Arabidopsis thaliana: one gene and its partners. The protein of the gene in region 1 interacts with the protein of each later gene in a pairwise test. Each region holds a gene or a part of one and is shown in the gene's direction. Other genes may lie near its edges. The genes, in order: LOG2, GDU4 and GDU5.

Region 1 (4,334 bases):
TCATAAAGATAATGTAAGGGTCTAAGCATACTCACTAATTAACGAAATATCTTCTTAGAAACACCTGAGCTCGATCTATTTCAATCATAGTGACTCAAACCTAAGAAAATCTTTGACATATGTATATTACATTAGTGTTCCAAGAAGATGCTACGTTCGACGTCATATTTGTTATCCTGTAAATTATAACAAAGATGCATCAACATTCAACAGAGAACAAAGTTTAGTTTTTATATATATATATATGTCACGATCATAGGTCTACATAACTATAAATTGATACAATTGATTTTACAGATTTTACACAACATATGTATCCAACTTGATGATATATCCGGTCTGCCGTTTCCCACTATATATAGAGTATTTTATAATTGATTCCCATTTATTTTTCTTAGTTTATATATGTTCGTCTTTTGGAATTGCTTAATGAAAGTGTGTGCGAGTGGTTAGGTATGCGATTCTATTATGTCTCTTTATTTATTTTTGATTTCGAATCGCACCACTACCTTCGTATGGGAATGTTTCAATATGATATCTATCTGTATATGATCACGAATATAATTTGATTTTGATCAAAATCAACATGTAATATAATTTCACGTAATATCAAACATCCAATAGTTACAGTTTAATCTGGCTACTGAATATATATATATATATATATATATATCTTCCTTTGAAAGAATGTTTATATATTTTTATTCTTTGTGACGTTTTTTTTAGCTAATGGTGATCTCTTGACTCTAAATTCATACAAATTTTTTAAAAAATTAGCTTAGGGTTTTGAAAATATAAAAACTCTTTTAGGGCTTATGTTTTCTTTTTGGTCAACGGAGCTTATGCTTTTGTAGAAACACTAATTTTTAAGACATTAAAGTATACATCAGTTTTGTTTTGTGTTTTGGGTTAAACTTATACACAATTATTCAAAGACGACAAAACAAGTTTAAATATGAATTCCAAAATACCAGTTCATCTTTTCGGACTACTGTATATAAGAATATTATGTTGGCAAAAAGTAGGTTTATTATAGGTTAAAAATAAAAATAAAGTATAGCCTACTTTGTTAGGAATACATATTAAACTTCACACTAATTACTAGTAGATATTTAGGCAATATAAGTCTAGAAGCGGAAAGTAGACAATGCCTATTGCCTAGTATACATTTCGGACAGCACAAGTGACTTTTAACTCTTTAATCACACAGAAGACAGAACTATGCAATGATCGACAACTTCTTCACTCTGTAAAATATTTGGATTTCTCAATTAATGGTTTCTGAAAATAACATCATCTTTTTAAAGCATGAACAAATTAATCCTAATGTAGACCTAAATAAAAATCTTAAGACCATCTTTATCAGTAAAAACAAGGAAAGATTCTAAAAAAAAATAAAAATAATATTTTAATTAAAACAGATACATTAATTATTATTTAATAATTGAATTAATAGTATGATGACACTTGTCCAAATTGGATGAGAATAGTTTCTCAAAGTTTCTCGGAAGAGAAATTCAACTCTCCTTCTCTTCTACTTTTTTTTCCTTCTATCATACTTTTTCTTCTTTAATTATTTTTTTTTTTTATTGGGTATCTTATTGAGATACTTCAAATGGAGATGCTCTAATAATTAATGGGAATGTGTTTCTAATTAAAAAGATAACATCTTTCTTTCTATATTTTTGTCGTCATATAACACACCTCAACTCTTTTAAGTACTCGTGTTGAATTTTGTTTTTTGAAAAGACAAAACTCCTTATAATCAACGTAATTATTAATAACAAGGAGAAAAAAAGTCCAAAGAAAAAAAAAAGAAAGCTTTTTGGGAACATAAACACCATCGAAGGAGGGTGGGAGGTGTTTTATGTTCATGGGTGGAGCTTCTTGGCCAACCTGACCCCATTCATCATATCATTACCCACTTTCTTCTCCTAAATTATTCTCTCTTATCTCTCTCTCTCTCTTTTTATTTTCTTTCTTTCTTAATTCATCTAAACTCTCTCTGCTTTTGCTTTTCGTAATTCCTTACATTTCACTCAATATTAATCCCCAGAATCTCCGATCCACCCACAAATTTAGCAATTTTCTGAGATTTGATCATTTGGGTCACCAAAAAATCTTGTCTTTTTGATCTGGGTTTAACGCCAATAACATATGGGAAACATTAGCAGCAGCGGTGGTGAAGGTAGACGCCGTCGACGGCGAAACCATACGGCGGCTCCACCACCACCTCCTCCTCCTCCTTCTTCTTCTCTTCCTCCACCACCTCTACCTACAGAAATCCAAGCTAATCCCATCGTTTTCGCTGCCGTTACTCCCTATCCTAATCCTAATCCTAATCCGGTTTACCAGTACCCTGCTTCTTACTACCACCATCCTCCCCCGGGAGCCATGCCTCTTCCGCCGTACGACCACCACCTCCAACATCATCCACCGCATCCTTACCACAACCACTCTTGGGCTCCCGTGGCGATGGCCAGATACCCTTATGCTGGTCACATGATGGCTCAACCGACTCCTTACGTTGAACACCAGAAAGCCGTCACGATTCGTAACGACGTTAATCTCAAGAAGGAGTCTCTTAGGCTTGAACCCGACCCGGATAATCCGGGTCGCTTTCTCGTCTCCTTTACGTTTGATGCAACCGTCTCCGGAAGGTAGATTTCACTTTCTCCCTTTCGTTGATTTCGTGATCCATTTGAGCAGATAACACGTGAATTTTGTTGTGTTCTTCCTCGTGACTATGTAATTTGGATCTTCTTATTGCAATTTGATCAAATCTTCTTCATGTGTAATTGAATTAAGCTTATGTTATTATGTTGGACTTGTGAAAAATAGGATTAGTGTCATTTTCTTTGCTAAAGAATCCGAAGATTGCAAACTCACAGCGACAAAGGAAGATATACTGCCACCTATCACTCTAGATTTCGAGAAAGGACTTGGTCAGAAGTTTAAACAATCATCTGGTTCTGGTATAGACTTTTCGGTCTTTGAGGACGTTGAGCTGTTCAAAGCGGCCGCAGACACAGAGATCTATCCATTAGCGGTTAAGGCAGAAGCAGCTCCCTCAGGTGGTGAGAATGAAGAAGAAGAAAGGTCGGGGTCGAAGAATGCGCAGATTACTCAAGCGGTTTATGAGAAGGATAAAGGAGAGATTAAGATTAGAGTGGTGAAGCAGATACTATGGGTTAATGGAACGAGATATGAGTTGCAGGAGATTTATGGGATTGGGAATACAGTTGAGGGGGATGATGATTCAGCTGATGATGCTAATGATCCTGGTAAAGAATGTGTTATATGTTTGTCTGAACCACGAGACACCACTGTTCTTCCATGTCGACATATGGTAAGTGAAAGCTGATGATTTACTACTATTATGTGATGATGGACATATATATAGATGTTAAAAATTGTTTGGGTTTGGTGGTGCAGTGTATGTGTAGCGGATGTGCTAAGGTATTGAGGTTTCAGACAAATCGATGCCCCATTTGCAGGCAACCTGTTGAAAGGCTTTTGGAGATAAAAGTTCACGGTAACAACGGAAGCGGGAATAACACCGGACAGGGAGAAACAGTTGAACAAGAGTAGCTAAACACGGCCGAGTATGGATTGAAATGCCATCGAAATATTAGTAGTATATGCATGTTTGATCCTTGTATGTTAACAACAAAATGTGTGATTGTCAATTCATAATATAGAGATTACGAAATCATTTGGAGTCATAATGACACAATACTTGAAACATTCTTCATTAGATACAACAACAAAGTAGGCAGTTTCTTACTTAGCTAGTTGCTCAACCGGAAGTTGCAGTGGCAGGTGAAGCCATTTTAGTTGCAATAAGACAGAAACTTAAACATGGAAAACACGAGATATAGTAGCGGCAACATGACATTCAATTATATAGCTGACCCCTTCGTTTCTTATTTAAAAGGGGCAATCTCCAACGTTTTGTGGTCAAATGGGCCTGCATTTCTTTTTATCCGCCTCTACTATTGGGCCCTAAGCCCGAGTTTTCCGGTTTCGTAAACAATAGGTTCATCATACTTGTGTAATTTCAATGTTTTGGAAAATTCGGTTCACAGCTTCGTTAAAACATCAATCATCTCATATCTGTGACTCGTAGTTTGGTTAAAAAATGATCCCAAAAAAGAGAGAGACAGATCCAAAAAATCATCTCATATCTGTGTCTCTCTCTTTGTTTAAATTTAAAATGCTTGCCGTAGACAAAACATACAAATACGAGGCTGTAATAAACAAGTATTTAATATAATAATAAGGACAAATAAACGGACCAAATTTAGGCCGAGAAAATGGGACATTGTGATATA
Region 2 (3,510 bases), on another chromosome or scaffold:
TTTAATTTCATTAGTCGATATAATTTTTCTGCCATTTTAATGGTATAAACGCCTATGTTTCAAGGGTAACAGAAAATAAGTATTAAGTTTTTCTCTTCTTTAGTTCGCAATGTGAATACATAGATGATTCCAAAATATGCTTTCTTATATATTTGTAAGAATTTAGTTTGAAAAACAGACATGGTCCTTTAAAATGGAACCTGTGAAAAAATATAAACTTAATTCTTTTAACAAAAAGAAAAGAAAAAGTTTATAACATTTGGGGCACAAATTTGCACCTGATCACTACATTTTAATATGATGACAGCTTTATGGATTATTGAGGTAGTGCACCTGGTGCACGGTAGTTGGTGTGATAGTAACAATTGGAAAAAAAAAAAAAAAAAAATCCCACATATGACTTTTATTTGCACTTTTGAAATTTTTTTTCTTTATTTTTCTTTTAAAAATATATTTTTAATATGTAAAATTACTAAATTAACTTTCTTAAATTAATAACAATTAATCAAAAACATATATATTTTAATATCAAATCAATTTATTTGTAATAATTAAAATAATTCAAAATATATATTTAGGGTAATAAATTTTTGAATTTGTTAGTCTTTTATAACTAACAATTCCAAATCTTTATTGCCCTAAATATGTTTTTCTAAACAATAATGACTAACAATATTCTACCGATATTAAGTCATGATTTTTTTTAAGCCATGTGTTATGGTGCAGATTTTAATATTCATTATTATTGTAAAACATTAAATAATTTACTTTGCAAAAAAAAAAGGAGAATTATTGAATTCAAGCAAAGTTTGGTGATATGTTAAGTTGAAAATTGTGTTTGGACTACTCGAGATTATTTTATTTTATATAAGTCCGATTGGTAACACAAAACTGTACAAAATTTTAGCTGTTAGCTATAACCAAAACTTTTTTTGGAATAGTGCAAAGTTGTACAAAAGAATTATACGAGAAAGCTGTACAGTAAAGTTAAGAGTAAAACTTTTTGTAATGTTTTTGATAAAGTTAATTTTTGCGAATGATAACTCTCAAAATAGTACAAGTTATATCGCTTTGAGAATGTGTTACCATTTAAAACCTATAACATGACAAATATTAAGTGATAGACTTTATAATACTTTTAGATATAGAAAAATTGAGAGATAGAAAATTTCTTCATCCAAAAAGAAAGAGAGAAGTTGGATTCCCAATTTGCGGGATCCCAAAAAAATAAAATCCCCATTAGGCATCATAGTGTGTCCTCACAAGAAGATAGATATCGTGCCATAAATTAGAACTGAGAGTAAGGGGTCTTGGAATCCATCTCTCACTCTCATTCCTCTGTCACTTCCAGAAACCAAACTATTCATCTATCTAAATTGATCTATTTGGCTTAAAGTATCTTAGAGTCATCAAGAGGAAACCCCTTGTCTTTCCAAAAACTTTCTCGATATCATGCTATCACTGACATATTATTGGATATAAGACTTATAAGTCTAATACCCAATTATTGTAGTTTGTGTAGTTGATTGATGTCAAAGTTCATATGGTTTCAAATTTATTGGTAAATATTATGATTGATATCCTTTTTTTGATTTTAAAAATCACCATTTATATATTTTTCAACAACCGTTAAGCAAAAATTTTAAACCAATCTGCGGTAGTTCTTGTAGGCATTTTTCAAGTTTTTTTTAGTGTAGTTTCTTAAAGATACTAAAATTTAATTTATCGTGTCTAGTTTAAATTTGTGTAATTAATGTTCGCTATCTTTCTTTAAAAAAACAAGCACCTTAACATATATATGTGTCTATAACAAAGTAAGTTTGAGTACATAATATTGCATGCAAATATATGCGGCAAAACTAAAAAGTAATAAACGGCAAATGAAAAAAAAAGCTGCTTTAATTCAAATAATTAAATATTCGGAGTGACTCACTTTCTTTTTCCCCAGGGACTTCTTACCTATAAATATAACACCTCACCACACCCATTGTTTCATTCATCTTTCCAGCTTTCTTCACTTTTTCCTTTATATAAAGTTAGAAAAACAAAAAAAACAAAATAGTTAGAAAAAATCTGAGAGAAACAGAAGAAACATAAAAAAAATGAGGCCATTGAGCATTAAACCAACATCGTTAGATGTAGCTAGACATGCCACATCAGTAGAATCATTTGGGAATCACCGACCGCCGATATCGCCGTGGCACTCACCGGTGCCGTACCTATTCGGTGGTCTTGCGGCGATGTTAGGCCTCATAGCCTTCGCTTTACTTATCCTAGCCTGCTCTTACTGGCGCTTGTCAACCTCCGGTGATGACTCCGGCGAAAGAGTCGACGAGGAAAAAGAGAGTCGGTCTGGAGTGAAGGCGGCTAGCGCGGCGTGCGAGGAGAAGGTTCTTGTCATAATGGCCGGAGATGACTTGCCGAGGTTTCTGGCCACGCCGGCGGCGAACAAATGCATGTGCGGTCACGAGGGTAGAATGGTAATTTTCAAGGAGGATGGTATTGGTGCTGGAGAGGAGAAAATGGGAGACAGAGAGAAAGCCAAAGAAAATGAAGAAACAACGAGTCAGTGAGCTTTTTTGTTTTCTTTTCTTCTCTCAGTCTTGTCTTTTTTTTTTTGTTGGGGAATTTTCCTTCGTGTTTTCACGGGAAATGTAAAATTTACTGAGAGAAAATTTTGGGTTATGATTAATGAATGTTTGCTTGTAATTTCCTATCCCCAATGGTGGAAAACTCGTTTTTAGTTTTTGTAATTCTCAAAAGTGTGATAGGTAACCTTTCTCATACAGCTTTAATACCAATCAGTAATAGAGTAAACTAAAACGGAATAACATAATAGTACTTAAAATTCTTACAATTTTATGTCATCACTAAGATCTACAAAAAAATGAATCATAGTATCATAACACTATGTTTGCCCAAAAAAAAAAAAAAAAGTATCATAACACTATTGATCATAAATTCAAAGCTTGCAATGTTTCGATGGAAACGTGATTCATCCCGTACACAAACTGTAATTTTATATACATTTTCAGAAACTAATGTAATGCATTAACCCTTTTGTATTACGTATATATTCTCACATTTTATATTTTGTAAGGAGATTCGTTTAGTTACTTTAATTATGAATTGTTATAATTGTGTCTCCTCCATGTATTTGTGTTACTTTCATATTTTCCTTGCATTTATATATTTTATTTACCATAGGATAGTTCTGAATTTGCTATCAACTTGGATATTTTAAATTAATTGAGACTCCATCTAGTTCACCGTCAAATTTTAACTATACTTGTTTAACTATACTTGTTATATAACGAGTGAATAAACTGGAAATAGTATTACTATTAACTATGAACTTACATTCGTAATATTCGAAAATATGTGCGTGAGTTAGTCTTGTCACAAGAAAAGGAATCATATTCTTTTTTTCATTAAACAAAAATTGGAAACACATATTATGGTATAAATCAAAAGATAATTCGATTACTTGCCCCATTTGCCTGCTTTACT
Region 3 (2,993 bases), on another chromosome or scaffold:
TAATCAGAATTCTTTCGATAATTTATGAAGTAAACTCTCAAATTTCGGATATTACAACACATATGAATAAAAACATTACTCATAACTCATAAGTGAGTAAGAAAAATAACATAATCCAAGAATAAGAGCTAATCCATCTTATGGTTCACTAGACATAGTTTATTCATTTAGAGATTGTAGATATATGGTTTATATTAATGTTCAAATATTAATCTAACAATTTTGGCAATCGACATGATTAAAAAATGAAATATATTCTCTTCCAACTATGGATACAAATAAAATCTATGGATTGTTGTTGTGGAATATTAAAAAGTAAACCCATATATAATTTACTGTTAACGGCAAACATCATTATCCAAATAGCACCATCGAAAAGACACATATCCCTGGCTTAGCGTAATAACAAATGGCCATGTGAAATTCATGGGCCCGAATAAAACACAAAGCTGGGCCCTCTTAATATTCCTAAATCCAAATAATCATATAATTATGTTTTCTGTTTGTCTCTCCCAAATATGATGTCGATAAAATTATAAGGGTTCGAATAGTTGCGCCAGTTAGGACGAACCAATTCATTTCCAATTCATTTCCGGTTTATACTACTTTTCTTTAGTATTTATGAACTATAATTTGTTGTCGTGTAAAAAATAGAACAAGTATGCGGCAAACTAACTATAGATTGTTTTTACGTAGAAAAAAAGCTTGATTTACATCAGTTTATTGTCCGTTCCAAAAATAGAAAACATTTCTCTGCTTTTTTTTATTGCAATCATTCAAAACCTAAATTTATAATCATTTATAACACCAAGAACATATATAAATCATCTTCACTCATAAAACATAAACAAACTACTCTACTTACAATATGCATAACCTCCACTAAATATATATGCATCCACAATTTACAAAATCATCATGTGGAAATTATCTCATACTTTAGTGTAATGGTTTTAACTGTTATATCACTTATAAGAAATCAGCTTAAAATTACTCGTATATGGGGCTTGTAGACTACCTTAAACTCCAAAAAACTAGATTTTGAAGCTCTAAATTGATCAATTAAGATGTATAGTTGGCCACTCTTTCAGCTGATCGATCATGTATATATGAAACAAATCTACAACGAATAAGTAAAACAATATTGCTTGTTTTTCAAGACGCAATGGAATTCAAGAGATCAGTCAATTCTACTAATAAATAATTTTCTAAATAAACATGATAATTTATCTATTTTTGTAGTTGTCTTTTGTCAACAAATGTCATCTTCATAAATGATTTCTTTATCCAAAAAATCACAAATTCATTGCCATAAATAACATGGTAAGATCACATATTAAGTTGAACAAAAAAGGGATCACATTTTCAAATATCTACCTCATATTTTTTTTTGTTATAATTTCTGACACGAGGAGATTATGGAACTGTCTTTAACAAATAAAAAAAGGGATTACGGAATTGAGATCTTAAAGTTTGATTATCCAAAAAGGATTTTATAAACAAAAAAATCAAGGTATATATCTAAATGCAAAAACGTATGATTAAATATCTTCGAACCTGGTGCATGATCAAAGCAACGTAACGTATCATGAAGATTCCGTGACCCACTTACCTTCAATTTTGTTTTATAATAATATTGTGAAATATTTATTACATCTCTTCCCTCTATTGTTCTCTTCCAGTACTATAAATAAAATGTCAAACCACTCCAACAAAATCAAACTAGCTACACAGTTATAAAAAAAAAGTATAAGCTTCACAATTTTCAAGCTTCTTCTCCTCTGTTCTTTAACAAATCCAAGAATAAGAAATATAAAACAATGAGGCAATTTCCAAGCATAAGAGGAAACATAAATGAGAAGATGATGACAACAATGGTGGAGTCTCAGACACGGTCTCCGTGGCGTACACCGGTTCCTTACCTATTCGGTGGTTTAGCCGCCATGCTTGGACTCATAGCCTTTGCTCTCTTGTTGCTCGCCTGCTCCTACTGGAGGCTCTCGCGGCAGACAGAAGATGAAGAGAAACAGACGGAGTCCGGTGAGAAAGTGGTGGCTAAGGCTTTTGAGGAGAAGATTCTTGTGATCATGGCTGGACAAAACAACCCTACCTTCTTAGCCACTCCGGTCGCGGCCAAGATTTGCCTGGATTGTGTTAATATGGAGAAGAAAGAAGGACAAAATGGGGAATCTAAAGTAACAGAAGAAAACCACTGACTACTGAGCTCTGTTCTCAAGAGTGTACTTTTTTGGATTCTCTGTTTTTGTCGGTTTGTTTTTTGTTTGTTGGGGAAGTAGTTTTCCTCTGTTTTTGTCGACCTTGAGATTGTAAATTTTCATTAGAGTAGTAAATGTGAACAAAAAAGTTGAGAAATTTCGGGTTTCTATGTATAAATGTTGGTATATGAATATATTTTGCTAAATTAAAGGTATCAATGTGTCATTGTTTTGATCATTAATATTTCCAAATTAGTTTTGAGAGTATATCTATATCCTGCTATAGCTTAAAGATTTACTTGTAAAACTAAGAAGTTTAGCTACATTTTCATGGCCGAGTGGTTAGCACTCTAAGTTAGAGGAGCATATATTTGGCCAAGACCAGGGGAGTGATTTCCGTTCTGAACGTGTGAGCCATCACTGTGTCTACGTGACTACTGAAGACATCTTTACTGGTCAAAACACTTGATTTTTATTGGGTCCAAAATAAATCAAAATGACCCAAGTTAGCAAACAAAAAAAACAAAAAAAAATATTGTGTGATGGGAAATATGTAAACAAATGGAAGTTGATTTTTAGTTTATTTTGTAAAAGTTACATAATTTTAGTCATTTTTTATAAAATTAGAATGTTATTTTATCGGAGAGCTTTTTTTCCGAAAAGTTTTCTCTCTATACCAGCTCTTTTTCTCCTGGTCATTTTTTTCGACAAAATTGTGGCTCCGACTAACGTTCGTGGACTTCCAAAGCCACGACGTTGGTTCGGCTTAAGTTTTTA

What was found.
Region 2: the proteins of LOG2 (region 1) and GDU4 interact in a two-hybrid assay, tested with the Arabidopsis thaliana proteins (2 studies listed by BioGRID).
Region 3: the proteins of LOG2 (region 1) and GDU5 interact in a two-hybrid assay, tested with the Arabidopsis thaliana proteins (2 studies listed by BioGRID).

Annotation. Positions count from the first base shown.
Region 1 is NC_003074.8:2,995,659-2,999,992, reverse strand, and holds LOG2 (RING/U-box superfamily protein), read left to right. Parts: upstream 1-1,737; 5' UTR 1,738-2,157; coding exon 2,158-2,660; intron 2,661-2,841; coding exon 2,842-3,349; coding exon of another isoform or gene 3,350-3,364; exon of another isoform or gene 3,365-3,435; coding exon 3,436-3,591; 3' UTR 3,592-3,814; downstream 3,815-4,334. UniProt on the Arabidopsis thaliana protein: Acts as an E3 ubiquitin-protein ligase, or as part of E3 complex, which accepts ubiquitin from specific E2 ubiquitin-conjugating enzymes and then transfers it to substrates (in vitro).
Region 2 is NC_003071.7:10,557,377-10,560,886, forward strand, and holds GDU4 (glutamine dumper 4), read left to right. Parts: upstream 1-1,796; 5' UTR 1,797-2,102; coding exon 2,103-2,573; 3' UTR 2,574-2,863; downstream 2,864-3,510. UniProt on the Arabidopsis thaliana protein: Probable subunit of an amino acid transporter involved in the regulation of the amino acid metabolism. Stimulates amino acid export by activating nonselective amino acid facilitators.
Region 3 is NC_003076.8:8,582,845-8,585,837, forward strand, and holds GDU5 (glutamine dumper 5), read left to right. Parts: upstream 1-1,690; 5' UTR 1,691-1,820; coding exon 1,821-2,216; 3' UTR 2,217-2,453; downstream 2,454-2,993. UniProt on the Arabidopsis thaliana protein: Probable subunit of an amino acid transporter involved in the regulation of the amino acid metabolism. Stimulates amino acid export by activating nonselective amino acid facilitators.